Linked DNA regions of Styela clava. The protein of the gene in region 1 purifies or fractionates together with the protein of each later gene. This does not show direct contact. Links are inferred from orthologs where the notes say so. Each region holds a gene or a part of one and is shown in the gene's direction. Other genes may lie near its edges.

The links.
Region 2: the proteins of BPTF-associated chromatin complex component 1-like (region 1) and nucleosome-remodeling factor subunit BPTF-like purify together in Homo sapiens (affinity purification with mass spectrometry; 5 studies listed by BioGRID and IntAct, with this or other methods). This does not show direct contact. The link is inferred for Styela clava from reciprocal best matches to the Homo sapiens genes BACC1 and BPTF.

What each region holds. Positions count from the first base shown.
Region 1 is NC_135258.1:20,124,544-20,134,400, reverse strand, and holds BPTF-associated chromatin complex component 1-like, read left to right. Parts: upstream 1-5,983; 5' UTR 5,984-6,125; coding exon 6,126-6,158; intron 6,159-6,670; coding exon 6,671-6,762; intron 6,763-6,829; coding exon 6,830-6,931; intron 6,932-7,370; coding exon 7,371-7,518; intron 7,519-7,679; coding exon 7,680-7,988; 3' UTR 7,989-8,608; downstream 8,609-9,857. Other genes in the region: protein disulfide-isomerase TMX3-like, read right to left, coding at 1,451-2,878. UniProt on the Homo sapiens protein: Component of chromatin complexes such as the MLL1/MLL and NURF complexes.
Region 2 is NC_135262.1:1,332,641-1,343,423, reverse strand, and holds the start of nucleosome-remodeling factor subunit BPTF-like, read left to right. Parts: upstream 1-5,662; 5' UTR 5,663-5,769; coding exon 5,770-5,921; intron 5,922-7,672; coding exon 7,673-7,729; intron 7,730-9,092; coding exon 9,093-9,225; intron 9,226-9,881; coding exon 9,882-9,987; intron 9,988-10,783. UniProt on the Homo sapiens protein: Regulatory subunit of the ATP-dependent NURF-1 and NURF-5 ISWI chromatin remodeling complexes, which form ordered nucleosome arrays on chromatin and facilitate access to DNA during DNA-templated processes such as DNA replication, transcription, and repair.

The sequences.
Region 1 (9,857 bases):
TCATTTGAGCGAAATAAATCTGCCATGTGATGCCCATATATACAATTATTTTTGGGCAACACCTCAATACCGAATAAAATATTAACAATGAAATTTTTTGAAAAAAAAAAATTACTTTTAGGTTTTTGTTGAAAAACCGACAACCCAAGAAAATTTTTAGACGACCCAGTTTCGGGTCACGACAGGGAGGTTGGGAAACACCGACTTAGACCATTTTAAAGTGAAATGAAATATTTTGGTTAATTAAGTGATAATTCAGTGAAAACTGTTAACTATTCGAATCTGCCGTATATACCAGTATGCTCCATTTAAATCACAATTTCTATCCAACAGTAATTCTGAAACAAAAGTATTACACTAAAAATAGCAAAATCCGAAACTATTAAAATGGAATAATTTTAGGAACTCTAAATCAAACCTAACCAAAATCAAAAAATCACTGGAGTGGAAATGTGGGATGATCAAAAATGTAGCCTACATCTTACAGCAAATAAGCAGTTCCCACAATACATTGCAACTGAAATTTAGATGAATTCATCAAGAAGTACGAGTGAATGAAATAATGATTCTGAATATGAAAACAACTAAAGATTTATAGAAAATACCATTGTTCAGACAAACAAGAAAACATATTAAACTCCCAGATTACAACCGAGTAGCTTTCAAAGAGTTGTTTGAAATTTTGTAAACAAATAGAAATCATTGAATGTTTGTATGAAGGCAAGAAGTGCAAATAATTTTGAACTTGTGCATAAGGAAAAGCACACACCTCATCCTATATCAACCTCTAATTTTATTTTTCCAATGTTAAAGTACAGTCCGATTAAGACGGACAAATTTTTATATTCCAAAATCGTAAAAACAGACAGTCCCTTGTGCATATCTTGTAATGCCAGGCAAATATCCTGTGAATGGCCATTGTGTAGGCCTTGAATATAACAAAAGGAAGGTGCGAATACATTAACAACACCAATACATATGAGCAGCACAACATCAATAAATAATTGATAGTTTGATACAGAACATATAAAGTGGTTTGAAGAATAACACTAAAAATTTCAGTTTCACGACATATAACACTTCACACTGTACAGATGATCTCTATTGACTGCTTATCCTCAATCCTAAAATCTCACTAATATGCATAGAGAGGAGACAAGTTTTGGCTCAATCATGCGTGTTAAATTCCAAAAGTCAAGATCACCTTGTTTCAGTCGAACAAGCTATTGTCAAAAGCAATCACACTTACAGATACAAAATAACAGTGAAATATAATTGAAACTTTGTGTTTGCAAGTATCAGTGTATGGACCACAATATGATTCCTTCAGTAAGATATCTAAATGAAAATTTATCATCCGATTTAAAATGTGTATTGCAGTTTGGTTTGACTGAAATAAGGTGGAATCATGACAATTGGCTAGATGTAAGAGCAGTCACAGTGATTGAACTTATTTATATTTTTTAGTCTCAACTTTTGTATCATCTTCATCCATTGCTGTCTGCTCTTCTTCATCTTGAGATTCTTCAGCCTGTGACTCTTCATCCTGGGAGTCCTGTTCAACATTTCTTTTTCTCACATTTTTATCTGTATCATCTTGATACTCTGGAATCATCTCACTTTCTTCCTCTTCTTTGTCATCTTCACCAGAATCGTTTTCGGAGTCTGTATGGTAATCTCCAGCTTCGGAATCTTCCATTGTACAAAGACAATAACATAAAAAAGTGATCACAAATGTTGGTATGCCAATAACAAGACTAGCGACAATCGGACTTTCTTTAAAGAAATTTATGACTATATTTGTTGTGTCAGACACAAAACGTTTTATTTGCTGGAAAACGCCAGATCCACCTTGTGAAGCAATTTCTCCTTCAATAACTTTGCTCAAGAACCTAGTGATGTCCGATTTTACAATTTTGGTTTCATCAGAGTCACTACGCATGGTGAAATACTCGTATGTACTTGGATCAAAAACTATAAAATTCGGAGTTGGGATCGAACTATAAGTTATCTTATTTATGATGCTATCTCCCAATACCCAGCAAAATATAAATTTAGGGTGGAATAATGGGTTTCGTGATGTAGCTATATCTTTTGCAATAGTGTCCAAATATTTGTAATCCTTTTCAGCAAGAACAGCAATAGCAAATTGTTTATGTGTACCTTTGAGGGAATGGTAAGAGCTACCTGTTAGCTCATTGTAATCGGGTAGCTGCTCAGACAACATCCAATGCGTAAGATGTGCCTTTTTTATGCTTTGAGATGACAGGGGCATTCTAAAATAAGTGTCATCTTTAAAAACCAGAACCGTTGGTGTTTCTTTCACATCTGGCATGATGTCAGGTGATGCTGCAAACATATTCAGTGTCAAGAATAATTTATCTGCTACAGAACCATAGATTTCACGAAGGTCTGAGTCTTCATTTCCGACATAAAGAAAAAATACTGAATGCAGTTCACGAGTTTTTGTGAGTTCAAGAGAGTTTGTTAAAGATGTAAGTTTCGGACCTCTTGCCTTGAGAGTAAACGCAATTATGTCACTTTTTGTCCTAGCACCACGATATTCATATTCGTTGTCCCCAGATATAAACTTGATTGTAGGGAATCCCCGAACACCAAAATCACTCGACAGGGATGAATACTTTGTGCAATCCAACCTTGCTACATGCACAGGCATTGTATTTTTCATAGCTTCGCCAACTTCCATCCAAGTTGGTTCGAGATGTTTACAATGACCACACCATGGTGCATAAAACATTACCAACCATTCACCCTGTTTTTTCGCCTCACGAAATCTGTCGTCTAACTCCAAAACGACTGAATTTGCCAATCTGGCATAGAACACAATAACGAATATGCTTAAAGACTTAAAATTCATTTTTCTCTAAGATATCCTGCTAAAAAAATACAAAAGAGACATCAGTCTAGACCAGCTGTTCCGAAACTGTGGGTTGCAAAAGAAATCTTAGTGGGTCGTGAAAAGATGTGGAAAGCTTTGATTAATTATACTGGTTATTAGGATCGGTGGAGAATCGAATACGTAAATTCAAATTTGAAGATTCAATATTTTTAAAATCAGTGTTCAACTGAAATATTTCAGATATTTTAACAAAAACTTTCACAAAAGGATAGGATAGGATTTACATATTTATCCCGGGGGAGAGGAAAGGCGATAAGACGGCTTATTCATATGGCGAACCACGGCCTCTCGTCCGGTTACCATTCCAAGTCGGGTATGGGATTAGTTTTACTGTATTGTTTGTTTTCGGAAGCATGGACGCACAGAAAAACTATTTCCTTTCTTGAATCTAAATCTGGAAATAATATTGATTCTCGAATATATTCCATATTGGGCCATGGATCGAAAGAAACCATAATATTACACGAAATATAACGCATCTCTAGGTCTCTAAGCACTTATTGTATCAAACACTGTCGAATTGTGACCTGTAGCGCATGTCCCATTGAACCCCAGTCCATGTTTCGCCATAGGGAACAAATCTTTTCAGACCATCCAGAATTACCGATACCGGTAATTGTCAACTCATTAATATCAAAATATGGCAATGGGCCATCCTATTCCACATACCAAGCTACACAATCGATTCTTTCGATTGCATCACTAGGCTAATCGATGCTACCATCAATAGACGAGATTTGAAGCTCCTTTGCTTTGCCTCTATGGACCTTTCCCCGACCTTTAACCCCCGAAAAATTCTTCCCATACTTTACCATTGCAAAATTTTCGGGGCTATTTTAAGAATGCTTTTGCGAGTTGGCGCCTGTAAAACGGGGTATGTGTTTCGAACCATTATTATGATTCTTCGCATACAACAATCTGTTTTTTAAAACTACCGATAAAGAATTTTAGCCTAGTCTATCACAGCTATTTCTACACTATTTTTTTATTACTGTAATTAAATTAAAACTCCTTGGAAGACAGAGTGATCATTGAATTATCTAATTTATATTTAAGTTTCCGAAACACAACAGAAAACTAACGAATAGAGTTCAAAAACGCGAAAGCGAGGTAATGTTTATGACCACGCTTGAAAATCTGTCTGAGGTGAGGAAAGTGTCTGAGCGGATGCGAAAAGGGAGCATTGTACGTCACTTTTTGCTTCTTGCTGATTGACCAATGTCACGAAGTGACCAAGGAAGTCGATACTCGGGGAAAGGTCCATACGCTCCGATTTACGCTATTTGCCACGTTCACCAACGCTTGTTACATAACAATGTCGATAGAACGTGTCGTGCTTTGAAGAAATACTGTAAAAGCATTACATCAAAATTTTGCTTTAAATCAAAGTGCTTCTGGGCCGAAGTTGATGTTGTCTCGCGGTCCCCCTAAAATTGCTTCGCGGTCCGCCATTCTCCAGACTGAACCATCTTCACACCCAACCTTTCAAAGCTTTTCATCTGAATTCGTTTACACTTACAGCCTTGCATGTACTTCCAGCTTCATAACTAGTTTAAATAAGCAAATGCGCTATTCTATTACATATTAATCACGATTCTTTTGTGTATTTTGTGATGTGATACTGGAGTTCATTCCAGTATTTCATGGACAGCTAAAATATAGGCAAAGAAGTGTAAATAAAAGCTTTTATTAAATGCTGTGTGCGCGGGGAATGTCAACCGTCACATAACAAAATATATCAAAATCACTAATGAGCATGTGTATTATTTATACTACTTTATTATCCGGTTAATGGTCACAATAACATCCGGATATCAGATAGCAAAATACCTGTCGTTAACCGGTTATCCGGATCAATCCAGAATACAGAGGCATTAAACCACAGTTTTGCAGGTAGGCCTACATACTTTCCTCTTCGCACTATCAAAATTGCGTGTGAATGTGCTTTGACAGTGTCAAAAATTTTCCAGTCTGACTTTAGTTTTCCCACGTTCCAAGGACTCCCACAATAAAGTTTTCAAATATACTTTGTCTATAAAAGATTTTCTGAAAACGTCCTAAAAAGAACAAGGTATAATCTGTATAATATTTTTTGTTTATCGTTTAAGCAAGGTAACAATACTTAAACTGATCGAGAGTTGATCTCAAAATCCTTTCGTATTTTTACTTCCTGACCTGCTGTTTCGAAAAACGCCTCACATATCGTCGTCTGATGAACACCTAAATACGTCTTATACGTCGGCACTCTATTGCCCTAATTTAAATTTTTGAGTATTAAAAGATAGAAGAAGTCGCTAGCAAGCTATTGCTCACATTTTTTCAACTTTTTTGAATATTATAAGACCCGATAAATCACTAAATTTTGCTAGTTTTATTTCGATTGAAGTGAACTATAGTGACTATTAAAACTGGCAAAGAAAACATAGTGTCTAACATAGGTCGAATAAATGATAAACTAAATTGATAAACATCAACTTCAAAGCTGGAGAGTGGGTATAAATCACAATTTGGTGTGTTTTTACAATTATTCTTAATACTTCTAGTATCGTAATTAAAGAAAAAGAATAAGGACCCCGATATGGATTAAACGTTTTCCGTTTGTGGTAAGTCGCAATAATGGGCTGTTATACCTTGTAGTACATTAGATATCCACTCCTTACTAATCTGTATCAAAATGACAGGTCAAGTCGGGTTATCTTCAAGTTTTGTTACACTTCTCAGTTGAAGGTCGCAACCCACCAAACGGTATCGCCAAAACCAGTTATCTTTAACTGACGAGCTGGTTTGTATTAGTTAATCCATATATGTTGTATGTCTACAAGTGACCGAAAATCGACGAAATGACTAGGTGCATGAAAAAATCGGATCGCAGAAAAAAATAAATACGAGGGAGAAAAAATAAGAGAGAAGAACTATCGTTTGCACCATGGCACGGAATGGTAAAAATTGCAAAAAAATAAATAAATAAACTGCCCGTGGCACGGAAAGTGTTAAAATATATAGCAAAACGATGACGTTTTATGCAACCCTGCGATAAGTCAATTTTGAGCTCAAGGGTCGGGAAACAGCCATCGGTAAATGCACCCAGGCATGACTCTTGCTTCAAAAGTTGTTGTTTTTTCCCGGGGCTGTTCGCGTTTCGTTTTGTTCTGCTCGCTGTTGAATTTGAAGCGTTAGCCCGACTGAGTAGCTTTCAACTTTGGATATGAACATGCCTCAAACTGTGAGCGCAAACAAGGTATTATTTATTGATGTTTTATCCTGCGTGGGCTGGCAGGTTCGAATCCCGGGCGGGGTTAATTATGCGCGAGGAAGCGAAAGGATTGCTGGACTCCTCGCCGCCGTAGGGTGGTGGTTCACGTAAGCGCTGGTCGGTTACGGCACGGCTTCCTCCCCCGTCAAGTCCATACATTTAAAAACAAATAACTGAATGACGAAACTGAACAAACCATAGGCCTATAACAGTATGATGAGATTCAAAGCTTGTACCGTACCGTATTCTATGTGGTCAAGAAAATCATCTAGAGTTGAAAATGGATACCGTACCGGTACCGTACCTAATATTCCTTCACAATTATTTTCTCATTTGCTAGTTTCTGAATTATGTCATCGTCTATTACAGTATTAACCTATAATTTGTAATTTGCATGCCCAGTACTGTATATTGCCCATTGCTGCCATTATAGAAAGTAGGCCACCAGTTTCCACTTCCACTGTTCTAATTTGTAATTTGTTGAATTTCCATTGTAGGTCAGCCAGGTTTTTGCTGCTGCTGGCCAGGCCTTCAATCGTCTTGGAGAGCTAACAATGCAGTTACACACTCAATATGAAGCAGTCCCAGGGTAATAAATTCATTTTTTGAGATTTTCTAATCAATTATTTACAAATTATTTTTTTTAATTTTTGCAGTTCAAAATGGACAGAAGAAGAAGTGGAGATGCTGCGACAAGCTGTACAACAATTTGGAAATGACCTTGAAAAAGTTAGCTCTGTTATCAAAACCAGAACTATGTAGGATATATATTAAATGGAAATATTTGCATATTCCTTTTTAGTATAAATACGTTTCTGAAATGCCTATGTTATGCCATACAAAATTTGGCACTCCAGAAGTATGTGTACCAATAAGGAGGTAACGAATTTTGTTCGCCTACTTTGCATCAAGTTGTGTAGAGAGACTAGAACCTATGGGCAGGGGACTTGCCTAAAACAGACAGTCCCCGAACTCGTAGTCGTAATATACCTGAAATAAGGAGGATCGGAATAAAATTATGGCCCAACCCTAACTTGATACATACCCTACGGGAACAACTAGTAAAATGTTATATTGAATATATTACAGTTGGAAAGCAAAATGAAATTTTAACAGTTGTTGCCATGTCTTATAACTTGATGGCTTGAGACAAGGCATTCATTTCATATTGAAAAACACATATGTTTTGTGTTATAGGAGCCAAGTCAAACATGCTATAAAACGAAAAGTATTTAATGAAGCAGGAGTGCCAATTGCTCCAAAGCATCCGGCAAAGAATCCAGTATCTACCGGTAACAAGCGTCCTGCACCTGATACTCCAAAAAAAATACCAAATAAAGAAAAGGTAAAAGGCAATTTGTGATTCGTAAATTGTATAAGCAAAAAACCATTACTATGAATTAATATTTTTTTTTTATCATTACGTTTTCAATTTCATAATTGTAATATTGTTTTTCGGCGAGTTTTGTATTCGTTGTTATTTGTTCTGTTCTTTTTTCTTCACAGATTACTCTTATTGAGACTCCAGCATCCACCGTGATACCAAGCAAAAAGCAAAAGCTCTCCTCACCAGTGGAAACTCTTAATGACAATCTTTCGAATCCACCTATTGAAGTGCCAGAAGCCATAATTACAGAACAAGTTGTAACAGACTCTGTGGTTGAAGTTGATGTAGAAAATCTAGACGAGTCCTCATCATCACTCAAGAAACTAGACCAATTTATCAGTTCACAGCCCAAGATACCAGGCGACATGTCAGAGTCGGCTGTCAGCAACCCTCCACCATTACCTCCATTGGATCTTGAGCAGACATGAGTGAGTTTGGACGTCAGCAGGGTTGAAAGATGTAAGAGCTAATATCCTAGAAACACAAAGCTGTTTTCATATGTTGTTGGTCTTCTCCTTCAACTTTTGTAGTACACTAGAATGGAATAAGTCTAAAGGGGACTGGTCAATCAAATGAGACAGTCGGCCGTCCCAATCAAGCTGCTTCTCATTAATATTGACTATCATATCCAACCTTGCCTTTTCACTGGACTATAGGCGGAGGACAGCTTTAAGATGGTAAATCTTTTGTGGATCAGGGTTTTTATTGCGTAGTGTAAATTAAAGATAACAAAAATTATTGGGGGGGGATTTGAAGTTACAATCGTGGTGTTTTCAAAACCACTGGTGACTCTGGGCCAGATGAGGTTTGCATAATGGCCATTGGCAATGCAAAACTTATCTGTTTCTATTCTCCAAATATTTGAATGTTATTTTGTATTAGTGTTGTTAAATTTATTCCTTTAGTAAATGCGTTTGTGGACTATGTCCAGTTGTATGCCTGTTCTTTCCTCATGCTTCGAAATTCCATGCTGGTTGTGGTGTTGTGGGAAATTCATTTGAATTTACTTAAAATATTAGCAATAAACTTCACCAGGATTGCGAAAATATTTATTTCTGTCTGTCACGATAGTGTGATAGGCAGATTCATAGAACGTTTTTTTTTCATCAACAGTGATCAAACATGAATTCATTTAAATTGGTACCAGAATACACCAATGGTATTACCATGTCAAGCAATGGGAATAGAAAGAAAGATGTTTTTAAAGAGCCAGGAGAAGAACCACAATAGTGCAAAAAATATGACTCTCTTTTATGGAAAACGATGTTTACAAAATTTCAGGGTCGTTTATAGATTATTTTTTTTTTAGTTTTACGGATCAGAATTTTCCCAAATTCGGATCAGTGTCTTCCGCCACCCCGGCTTCCGTATCTGCTCTGCATTACGTGGCACAAACTTCGGCCCTGAGCTTCTGTACATACTATGTGCCAAATAGCATGACATTCGCCCAGGGCTTCGTCAATGCCATGCATAGCACAGCTCAACTTCCGCCGACGCGGCTTCCGTACACACTGTGTGAAAACGTGTAACACGCACACAGCATGACATCCACCGTGAAGCTTCCGATTCATCATTTCCCATTTTTTTTTTGCTTCGGTTTCATGGCAGAAGATATCCGTTAAGTATTTCCTTCCAGTTATTTTGTATGCCGAGAAATTGTATATCTGTGAACCTTTTTTCGATTACGAGAAGAAATTCCGGCTTCGGTTTCATGGCAGAAGATATCCGTTAAGTATTTCCTTCCAGTTATTTTGTATGCCGAGAAATTGTATATCTGTGAACCTTTTTTTCCATTACGAGAAGAAATTCCGAAAATTTGGTTATGGCGGCTTCTGTAATATTTCCGTCTGTGGGAGCGATGTACCGACTTTCTATAGCTAGAGAGATGTATAATTGCCTGTTTGAGTAGCACGAAACATTTTGTAACCGCAATCTCGTTTGGCCCATTGAAACTATTAAGGAATATTTGTTCTCTAGAGATTGTGGTGGTCCCGCATAGAATTTCATTTAGAAATTCTATTAAACTTGCAACATATGCCGCTATGATCTTGCAATGCAGAAATATGTGCTTAGTATTGTCACACGGATCTCTACAAAATTTACAGTTCATAACTTTTATGATCCCGAATGGGCCGTGCCTAAGGCTCATGCCTCGCCATTCGATCGCCGAAAATATAGCCGTCCTTTACTATACGGTAAGATATTATCCTTTCAGCGTTCGTATATTTGGGCCGATTCCTGAGCAGATTAACCTCCTCCCAATTGATATTTTCGTGGGGTTGGTTGTGGTGTCTGCT
Region 2 (10,783 bases), on another chromosome or scaffold:
TTTACCAATAAAAAAGTCACATACGATTGAATATCTTTCGAGATTGGATTCTGAAATTGTCCACCTTTACGAGGCTCGTCGGTGAGACAACTTAATCATATTATAAGAATGGCCTTCGTCCGATCATGCCTGCTGTGGGAATAATTAACTTTTTTAAGGCGCGGACTTGGTAAAGACTCGTTGTTTGGTAATAGCTAAACTGCCTCCTTGCTGATTCCTATTTTCGCGTCAGGTGTTGTCTTTCATTGGACACGAAATGGGCCTGTGAATCGTTTTAAATATTATGATACTGTTGTTAAGATTCTTTTTTGTGATAAAAAATTATATTTTTCGTTAGAAGGTATAAATACTTTTATTTACAGTATTTCAAAATTTTTTTATGAATCGTGATATTGCATCCAATTGCTAGCTGTATTATTTTTTATTCATGAGAACACGTTTTTTTATCCACCAAGCGTGAATTGTTACAGAAAAGAGACTCCGGGCACTGTCAAGTACGAAAGGGGTTAACCATGTGCAACGAACAAAAAAGCGTTCATATGGGACTATCGTGTGCGCTGCTTCAACTATTTGAATGTGTGAATATTTGTGCATATAATATGAAATGTTATGCTTTTAATTGTAGCCCTAAGGGAATGGAAAGCCAATAAGACGGGCACCGCTGCCTCTCGTCGGGTTTGGAATTAGTTAGCCAGTTATGTGTTTTTCAGATGCGCGGACTTTATGGTGGAGAAAGCCGTAACCCAATGGCGGCGAGAAGTCCAGCAATTTTTTCGCACACAATTATCCCCGCATGGGATTCAAACCTGCGAACCCACGCAGTGTAATCAGGGTGCGGTGGCGAGTGTATTCCTAACGCTTAGCACAATGCGCCACACCACTGAGTCAATCGTGCTTCATTTTAGTTTACTTTTCACAATAAAAATGCGTTATTATGAAATCATCGTCGACACGACGCACGAGGTAATCTGCAGAGCAAATTTCTGTCAGTGGGTGGAGGAATAATAAGAATGGAAGACGGTTCATCAATTTGATTTTTTATATCTCTTTTGCTAACTGACCGTCTTATCTCTTGGATGGCTGGATTGCTCGCCGCCGTTGGGTGGTTCACGTAACCGCTGGCCGGTTATGGCTTCCTCTACCATCAAGTCCATGCTTCCGAAAACAAGTAACTAACTAATCCCATACCCGACATGGAATGGTAACCGAACCGTGGTTCGCCATATGGTTAAGCCGTGTCATCGACTCTTCTCTCTCCCGGGATAATTATGTCAACCCTATCCTAACCTAACTGAGAAGAAAACGAAAAATATGACGAGGCCGCACGCCATCTTTCCCCGTATTATGATGAAATAAAAGCTAATTAATGTAAAGTATGGTCAATCGTTTTCTATTCTACTGAAATAAATGCATTCCTTGTGATTCTATGGCAGGTCGTCTATACTCTATGGAAATTTCTGTGCTTCACTGGTGCCCCAAACTTTTTGTTCGTGTGGCGCCAAATTAGGAAGGAAAAAAATCACGGCACACTTAAAACGAGAAATAAATTGCTGCCTTCAACTTCAATAAAACTCAATTTTGTGATTGTTAATGTGTACTTTTTGCGTTTTAAAGTTTGTAAACATTTAGGCCCAAGTAGGGTTACCATATTTTTTGACTTCAAAGCGGGACGCCTCCAAAGACACGACCCCGTAGCTGTGATCCTGTAATTTTACAGTTTCCAATTTTACTACATAGGCCTGAATTTAAAGCGATCCCGGCTGTCTTTCATTGACCATATTGTCATCGAGAGTTCATGCGCATATTCTCTGTCCAAATATCGGGTTCAGTTGGAAAAATAGAAAGGAATAGACGCTAACGATACAAAATTACAAATGATCCAAATTAACTTTTTCGCCCAAGCATGCTTTTCTGTAGATAACACCTTCAAAAAGACGTTGTTCAATGTTGCATTCGCGTGAACGTCCGAACAGGACCAATTAGAACTGATTTTACATATAACAACGAAACAAACAAAATAACGCATTCACCTTCAGTAAGTAGGCTAGCGTTGCGCTACACAGCAATAACGGTAACGTGAACATGTCCGTGTATTAGGCTGGATGACTGAATGCCAAAGCGGGACTTAGATGTCATTATTAGGATTCGCATTTCGGCACATGCACCGACACATAATTATTATTCCACGTGTTTCGCAATCTTCATTGTAAAAGTAAGTTTAGCCCGTGAATATTACTTTCTCGTGTTCATGTATACTGTTTAGTATTTTTTTCCACTTGTGTGAGTGTAAGTGAATGGGCACAAACGCTGGTTACAACGTTCGCTATAAACATTTCTTTAGGTTTTGCCCAAGTTCCCGGTCTTTCTGTCGCCACTGTCTCTGTATTCTCTCTGTATCTCTATGTTGTATACGAAAGATCGAAATAAAATTGTATTGTATAAACACAATAAATAAAATATTTAATCATATTTGGTTAAGTTTAATAAAATAATTTAAATTTCCCGGTGCATTTAGCAACTCGGCGCGGCTACAATCAGCGCTTGCTTGTTTTGCTTAATGGTTAATACACATATATACACGTAAATATAACATTATTACCATAGTACAGTGGTTCTAAAATAGTGGGCGCGCCTCACAAGGGGCGTGAAGCTAATTTTAAAAAATATATTTGTTAGATTTGATCTTATCCGCCTCATTTTGGATATTTACTTTCTATCCACGTATTTTCAACGTGTTTCGCTCTACTATCTGTTATTTGTAGCTTATTGTTATCTAGTTATTTTTGAGGTGGGGTGCGAGACTTGACAAACTCTAAAAAGGGGGCGCGGCTCAAAAAGTTTATAGTATGTAGCAGTAATATCCCTACACCTCCCTAATGTTGAGGTATGACACCACACTTTAATTCTGAACATAAATAAAAATGTATTTGAATATTCAGAAAGTGGCTCATATGCCGGTGAAGATGATTAGTCAAACACATAACACATTTATATAAGCTACAAATAATTTTATTACTAATAACAAAATATCTACCACCCCTTTATTTTGAAACACCCATCTCAAACGAAAAGCTGGGGAAAATACTGGTATGTAGGCTGTAGATTAGTCAGTGGGGTAGTTATCGAGAAAGGGTGTGGATTAAAGAAGCTTGCGATACCTTGAGTAAAAATATTATAAATATCTTGAATTGTCTGTACTCGCCGTTTTGAAGGTGAACGTACATAACGGATTTTTCAATTTGTGAAAAAATAATTGACTACGGACTCGGCAAGAATACGCGAACCTGCTGGTATTGAATCCGAATCTTGAAAATGTGGGAATTCGATATCGAATCTCGTTCCATTCCTAAGTACGATCAAATTATATTTTAAAAAATTAAAATATGTCTCGTTGGGTTATCGTCAAGATACCTAGAGGCGTTGCTATGAACATATGAATACTCAGATTTTCAGAAACACAGTTTGTATTGGTAAATACAAATAGATCAGCATGTAGCAGCATCAACTTATAAACTCCAAAGACTATCGCGCATTTGTGCGCATGTTACAGTTTCATTACTTATGACGTAATAGATATATTTGCGCAAACCATTCTTATGCATGTATTATGACATCATCATGATGCAAAAAAATAAACGTACTTGACTGTAAAAAGTATTTCGTAAATGATAAAGTCTCAGTGTCTGTCAAAGAAATGAATAATGCATTCCACACGATATCAGATTGAATATTATTAGCTAAGTGTTTTAGAAGTACCACAGTCCGAAAGTTCAATACATTCGTGTGTTTTATTTGTGGACCAAGCCTCGTTAAACCGCCTCTTTCGTAGAGTCGTAGACATGTTTACATTGAGAATAATTTCATCGAATTTATTTCTGCGCTCATGTAGAAAACACCAGTTTTGTATTTTTCGTGTGTATGTGCTGCGGTCACATGATATTTTTTAAATGCAATTTTGCGGTATTTGCAGTACGACATGAATTCATGCGCCTTTTCCAGCACCATTTTGCTCTATTCTTGAACGATTTGATGAAAACCGCACATAATCTGGCTTGCTATTAACAATCCTCCCGCCAAACAAGATAGATGAAAACGAATGCCTAAAAACCTCGGATAGCTTCGACAGCGAAGTAAGTATGCAGAGAGATTTAAGATAGTGGTATATATCAGTGACTACTTCTATCTGGCTTTGTTCGGAGCAAAAGGCACGAGTAAGCGTAGTGTTACGTCATTGAGCAAAAAAACTTGGACTGGCTACGCTCTTGTTTGTAGCGACGAGTTGGCAACTTTTTGTCAATTTTTGTCAAAAATGTCGATTGTTCGCGCTTTTTGCTTCGATTAATTATGCAATAACGATATGTAGTGAGCTAGCCTACTTCATATTTGGTAGAATTAGAATCTTGCCGGGGCTAAGGGTTCAGAAGTAAATTTTTTTTCAACATTTTTTCCAAATGCAATTTTTCGGGGTTTGCTGTAAGACATGATTTTATATGCCTTTTCCAACCCCACATTCACCGAAAACCGGACGTTTCTTGGGTTGCTACCAATAATCCTTCCTCCAGACTCTACTAAATGAACCAACCGAGATAGATGAAATTGCGCCTTTGTATACCTTGGATAACTTCGACAGCGAATTCGCTTTAGGCTTTAGAGCTGACATGGACAAGCTACGGCCCGAGGGCCAAATCGGGCCCGTTTGGTAATTCAATATGGCCCGCGGATGCTTTCACAACCAAACTAAAACCTAATTTTCATGTTTTAGTTGAAAACAAAAGTTTAGTTAAAAAACAAGTTAAACTCAATTTTGTCACGAGGTTCATTATTTTACACTTTTATTACACAAATATTATTCATAAAATGTAATTTTTAACGTCACACTTACATGGCCCCGGGTCCAAAAACTTTTCTCACTTCTGTTTGTCACCATATATGTGACCGCTTTTATCTGGCTGACCTGAGTAAGTGTGAGCGTCCTATTAAACCAACCAACCCCCCCCCCCCCCCCCCCGCCCCCAATATTGGACTGTCTACGCTCTTGGTGACAACCAATGCGCTCGGAATTACAGTAACAACATTGGGCCTAAGAAGATTTCTCTTGCATCTATTCAGCTTTTTTTCAATATCAAGACTGCATTATTCAATTGTTATTTTAATTCGACAACAATAACCATTATTGTAACAGAAGTTGGCAATTTTATTGCCGAGCCTTAATCTATAGTACCAATTTAATATTTTGGTGAGCAGGCGTGTGGAATTATATATTATTTTGCTCGATTCAGGCCTTATACTAAATCTATATAATTCCTCATTCTAACTAATGAACACTAACAACGTTTATGATCAATTATTTCCGTTTCATATTATCGGAGGCATGATCGGGTACATTTTAGCTAACACAATATTCGATTTGGGGCAGTTGAGTTTTTCCTGTTTTTTACACTTTTTATTTTTGAGATCCTGCAAAACAGAAAAAACATTAATGATTAAAAGCAGTTGTTATGTAGATCATATTTGCCAAAATAATTTAATAAGCTTTATTTCATATTCAAAAATACGATGAAAACATCGCGAGTTAGGCGAAATTACATTATGGAGCGCTGTGCTGAACTATCGACAAGTATGCTTATCGTTAATTTGCGCATCACGTGACATTCAACGGCGAGGTGCCTGGACGTTTTTTAATGGCGGCGGTCTAGTGACGCAATGGCGATGGAATATACGTGATTTGTCCTTAGTTACCGATATTAATTCAATAATTTTGGGTGGAAAATGGAGAAATTGAAAATGTTTAAGAAAAAGCAACGAAACGGAGAGGGTGAATGGATTAGTTGTTTCGCCGGAGATCAAAAAGTCAACGCGGAATTGAAGAAATTGACAAATTCACCTGGGTGGGTTGCGGCAACCCGAAAGTTGTTGCCAAGGTAAATGATGACGTCACTGTGAGGTCATTAAGAATTGTTGTTGTGTGATGTCACTGTGCTTGCTCAACCGTGTCTTGTGATTTTGATCACCCTTGGACGTGCTTTTTGTCGAAATTTTGAAAATTTTACCCGGCGAGCAAGTCTTACAAACGGCTTTTCCCGGGAAACCATTTTGAACCGAATTTACGCAACGTAGACGCGGGAAAGTTTTTTTTTGACAGTTTGGGTTGCAGACCCCTATTTTTTTTGAAAGGGTTTTGGGATTTCCTAAATGCGGAAGTCAATTGTGTGTTGATTTAATTTTATTAATTATTTTTACCCTTCTTTGAAACAAAGCTAGGGAAGCATTGGGTAGTAAGGCAATACAGCAATAGCTTCATCTGTGTGTGCATTTGTAGACATAAGTACTGATGCACAATAAGCTATTGTCTCACTCAATTTTGCAATTGGTGTTTGTCCTGGCTGTTCTCTCAGGTCAGCAGGTATCTTCTGATACAAATGTCTTGAAGCCTACCGTAACACCTTTAATATTCGTGAACATAAAGCTATTATAGCCAAGTCTTTATAGTTTTAGTTGGTCTTGCTTCTAGTCTAGATGTCTCTTTAAAAAATGATATGAATTGTTCACAAATACTGTTTCTTATTCTTCCTTTATAAAAGTTTGCTCAAATCTTTGTCGTATAAATACACCCGGCTAAATTATTTACATCAGGGTACAAATGGCAATGGCTGAAATTTCATAAAATTATGCTGACGAATTATCTGCCAGTAAATGCAGTTCAACACTAGACACAAAACATTTGATTTCAATTTGATTAATAAAGAGGCAATTCCATATATGTAATGAATTTCAAAATATAATAGGAAAATTCTGCGCAATGTACCCTCTGGAGTATAGTTCGAAGTCGAAATGTTTCTGCAGGATAGAAGACTGAATTATTTTTGCATTTCACTAAATATTGTTCTATAAAAGCAATAACCTAATTTTTAATTCGCTAAAAAAAAATAAAGAGTTTGTAAAAAAATTGGAATTGACCTAACAATCCCAGTTAAAGTTGTTAATTAAACACTTTGTGTGGTAAATGTGTTGGCGAATTTAAATTCTGAAAATCAACATTGAAAATATGAGAAAAATATGCTTAAAAATAGCGCATGATTGTCACCAAGTATATTCATGTCGGAAATAAGTGAAGCACAACTGGTGTATAGCAAAACGATTTAATTTGCCGAAGTTTCGAATTTCTATTCAAAAAAAGTGCTTAAAAAGTTGTTCTTCAGTATGCTTTTATAATTGTCCGAAAAGACTTGTTTGACATTTATTTAATTCTATATATCGGCTTGGTCGGCAAATCAATCGCGAATTCATGCCATTATAGAATATATCTGATCTTATTTATATATATACAGGGTGTCCTTAAAGTCTTGAAATTTTTTAAAGGGAATTTGTCGATACCATGTATTGTTTTGACCCTCACAGATGTATTGAATGAAGTAAAAATACCTGAACAATTACTGATTAAAAATAACAAACATAGTTAAGATATATTGAGAACTGACTTCATAACAGAATTAAAATGGTGAAGGGACTTTATGGACACTCTGTATAGGGAACCAGTGGTTTCTGTCTGGCAACTTTTCCCACAACTTACAAAGAAATATTATTCATTCTTACTCACTCGTAACATTATTCGTACTCTTTCTGCTTCAAGTTGTTGTTGTTTGATTTTTAATACCTATCATTTATTTTTTAGCAACAAAAGTCCAGGAAGCAGTCGAGCATCAACACCTTCAAGTCTATCAACAAACAGGTAAAAAAACTGATGAGTCAGCATTTTAAACATGTGTTCACCCCGAATAAGGCCCTGTATAAGCATTTACTGAATATATTTTCGGGAAGGCTGACACCTTTCTAGTTCGGCATTGGGTATTTATTACATTTAGGGTGGCGAGGTTGTAGGCATGGGTTTAAAACCAAGATAATTAATCCGCAACCCCCTCAACACATTTGAGCCCCACACTCTTTCATGCTGTACCAGGTGCGTAGCCAGAGGGGGTGAAGGGAGCATCCTTTTGAAACGTAAAAAAGGCATTTTTAGCTTTCAGACTCTCAAGATTCATTAAAAGCCGCTTATTCTGGCCTCCGACCGGACCTGCTAGCTCATGCTGTCTAACTTGGCAATCAGAAAATCCAGAGCCCCCCCCTCCCCCCCTTTTGAAAATTCGTAGATACGCCTATGGGCTACAGTACAAAATGATTTGGATTCTGGGTATATAAAACAGTTAAAATTGAACATAATTAATGCCATACTACAATTTTCGTTTTAATAATTTATAGATAAAATTCTGAATTCTTGAAATCTACTTAATAAATTTTATTTGAACCTCTTTGCTCCAAAGTAGGCTTTAGACAAGTAGCTAACAATATGTCAGTATCTACTTTGTGTTTAGAATAGCCCGACTCGTTTATTCCACCCTGAGTGAGGTATAGATCATTGGTTTTGAGTCTGAGATATGTTTTGACACCAAAGAGCCCAATGTTTATATATCGGGCATTATATTTTGCTGCAAAATGATCCACCTGGACAAAAATATTCAAAGTTATTTGGAAGAATAATCCGATATACCTCCCCAAATAAAAAACAAGAACACTTCTGAAAACCTTTGTAAAAAAAACAAACAATCTGAGCTATCTTGTGGGTGCAATACATTGGGAGCGAATATGTGGTTTTCCATCTTTTAGAATTGTATTACCCCATCATGTACGAGTATCTGCTTGTCTTGAGTCTTGTTCAGAGTGAAACAATGAAAACTTTAAGCTATTTTGCGATTGAGTTTAATTTTAGCACGGGGTTCATTGTTTTCCACTTTTACTTTTGTAACACTGTAAATATTGTTCATAAAATGTATCTTTTTATGTCACACTCACATGGCCCCCTAGCCTAGGTGGGCAAATTTTTTGGCCCCGAGTCTAGATGTATTTGATGGGAAAGAAATTCATAATCGACCAGTTGTCATGTGAACCACTCTGTGTATCTTGGAGTTTTGCGTCTAATTATCCCATTTGAATTTATATATGTGCGATTAGAAAACATATCTCTAACCTGATCGTAATCGCATTTAAATTTGAAAAATAAACTTTCAAATAATGTTTATTTTTCTTTCAAACTTCAGCAAATCTTCCAAAAAATTAAAGAACAAGAAAAAAGACAAAGAATCAAAAAATGAGAAGAAAAAATTTAAAATGGTTTTGGAGAAAGATGAAGAATTCGAAATTGATTATGTGTCTCCTGAAGAGGATGAAGAGGTGGGTGTGTCAGAGGCGTGGCTTAGAAAGATATGGGTGTGGCCTAAAATGTGGGTGGGGTAGAGGCATGTGTACTGTGTTGAATTGCAAATATGTGTGACATAGGCATATTTACCTATTATTGGGGTGTCTGAGGAGGTTGGTGTGTTAGGAGTCTGGACATAATTTACTCCTCTTTTGACAATGTTGTACTCCAATTGGGTGTGACATAGGTGTGTCCGCTATAGAGGGCTGATCTTCATACCTTTCACATATCGACAAAAATTTTTACTTTAAACAACATCGTGGCATAGATGTGCCAACTCTATTATGTATGATTATGTATCGCCTGTGTAGGAAAGGGTGGGTGTGTCAGAGGCGTGGCTTAGAAAAAAATGGGTGTGTTATGGCTGTGCCCTAAAATGTGGGTGGAGTAGAACCATTTTTTGCTGTAGCGTTATTCTAGCAGCTTATTTTGTATATTAACAATATTTTTGACAATATTTTGCCACAAATAGTGTGGTAAGGGCATGTCTCAATAAATGGGCGTGCCATAGGTGTGTTCACTCTCCTAGTTAAATTTAAATTGCGAACAGTTTTCACTCTTACTGTAGAGTGAATCAACTTGATGTGCTTGGAGTCATGTTTTTGTTGAAAATTTAATTTTTTTGACTCAGGCCACCACTGAAGACTCAGATGTTGACAGCAAAGGACTAAACTCGGATGATTCTGATCATGATTTTAGTTTTGATGAAGCAGAAGAAGATGATGTCTCCTCATTGGGTAAGAAAGTGGGTGTGTCGGGGGTGTGATGTATTCTGACTTGGGAATAGAATAATCTTTATTTTAAAGGTGTCAGTGGTTGACCAAATTGTCACTCAGATAAATGGCATGGTGAAAAAGGTTTTTACCAAGAGATGATCATTTTCTATCAAGTATTTTTTCCAACCAGTCAAAAGCACAAATTACAAGAAAATGATACTTTACACAGTTTAACTGGGTATAACCATGTGTTAAATTAATCTTATTGCGTTAGGTTAATATACATTAGGAAAGAGGTTTTTACTACCCATGACGATTATTAAAGGTGAAAACTAATCGGCAACTATCAGTTAGATCAATTAAAACATGGGTGTGCAACAGGTGGTCTGCCTGATCACTTTGATAAATCCATGATAAAGTCATGATCAGTCATCTGTGACCGATGACGTCACAGGTCATGCTCAGCCATCTTAGAGAATGCTAGTTGCCAGAAATACAATAAATATACAGCTAACACAACAGGCGGCTTGCGAGCCACAACCCGGCCCGCCAAGCCGTTCAGTGTGACGGCCCTTGTCAACACTCAGATTTTTCCCCATCGAGCATTAAATCCTAATCTGACAGTTTATGTTTGGAATGGGTAAAAATACATAATGTTTTTTGTTTTTATCACTGTGTTGAATCTTTCAACGTTCTGCCCGGTGTCTTTATTACTCCAATGCTAAGTAATAGCAGTATTCTCTTATCTTTTCCACATAGTCAACTGAATTTTATGCCGGGCCCTGCTAGATGTCTGAAGTTGGTTATATGGCCAACC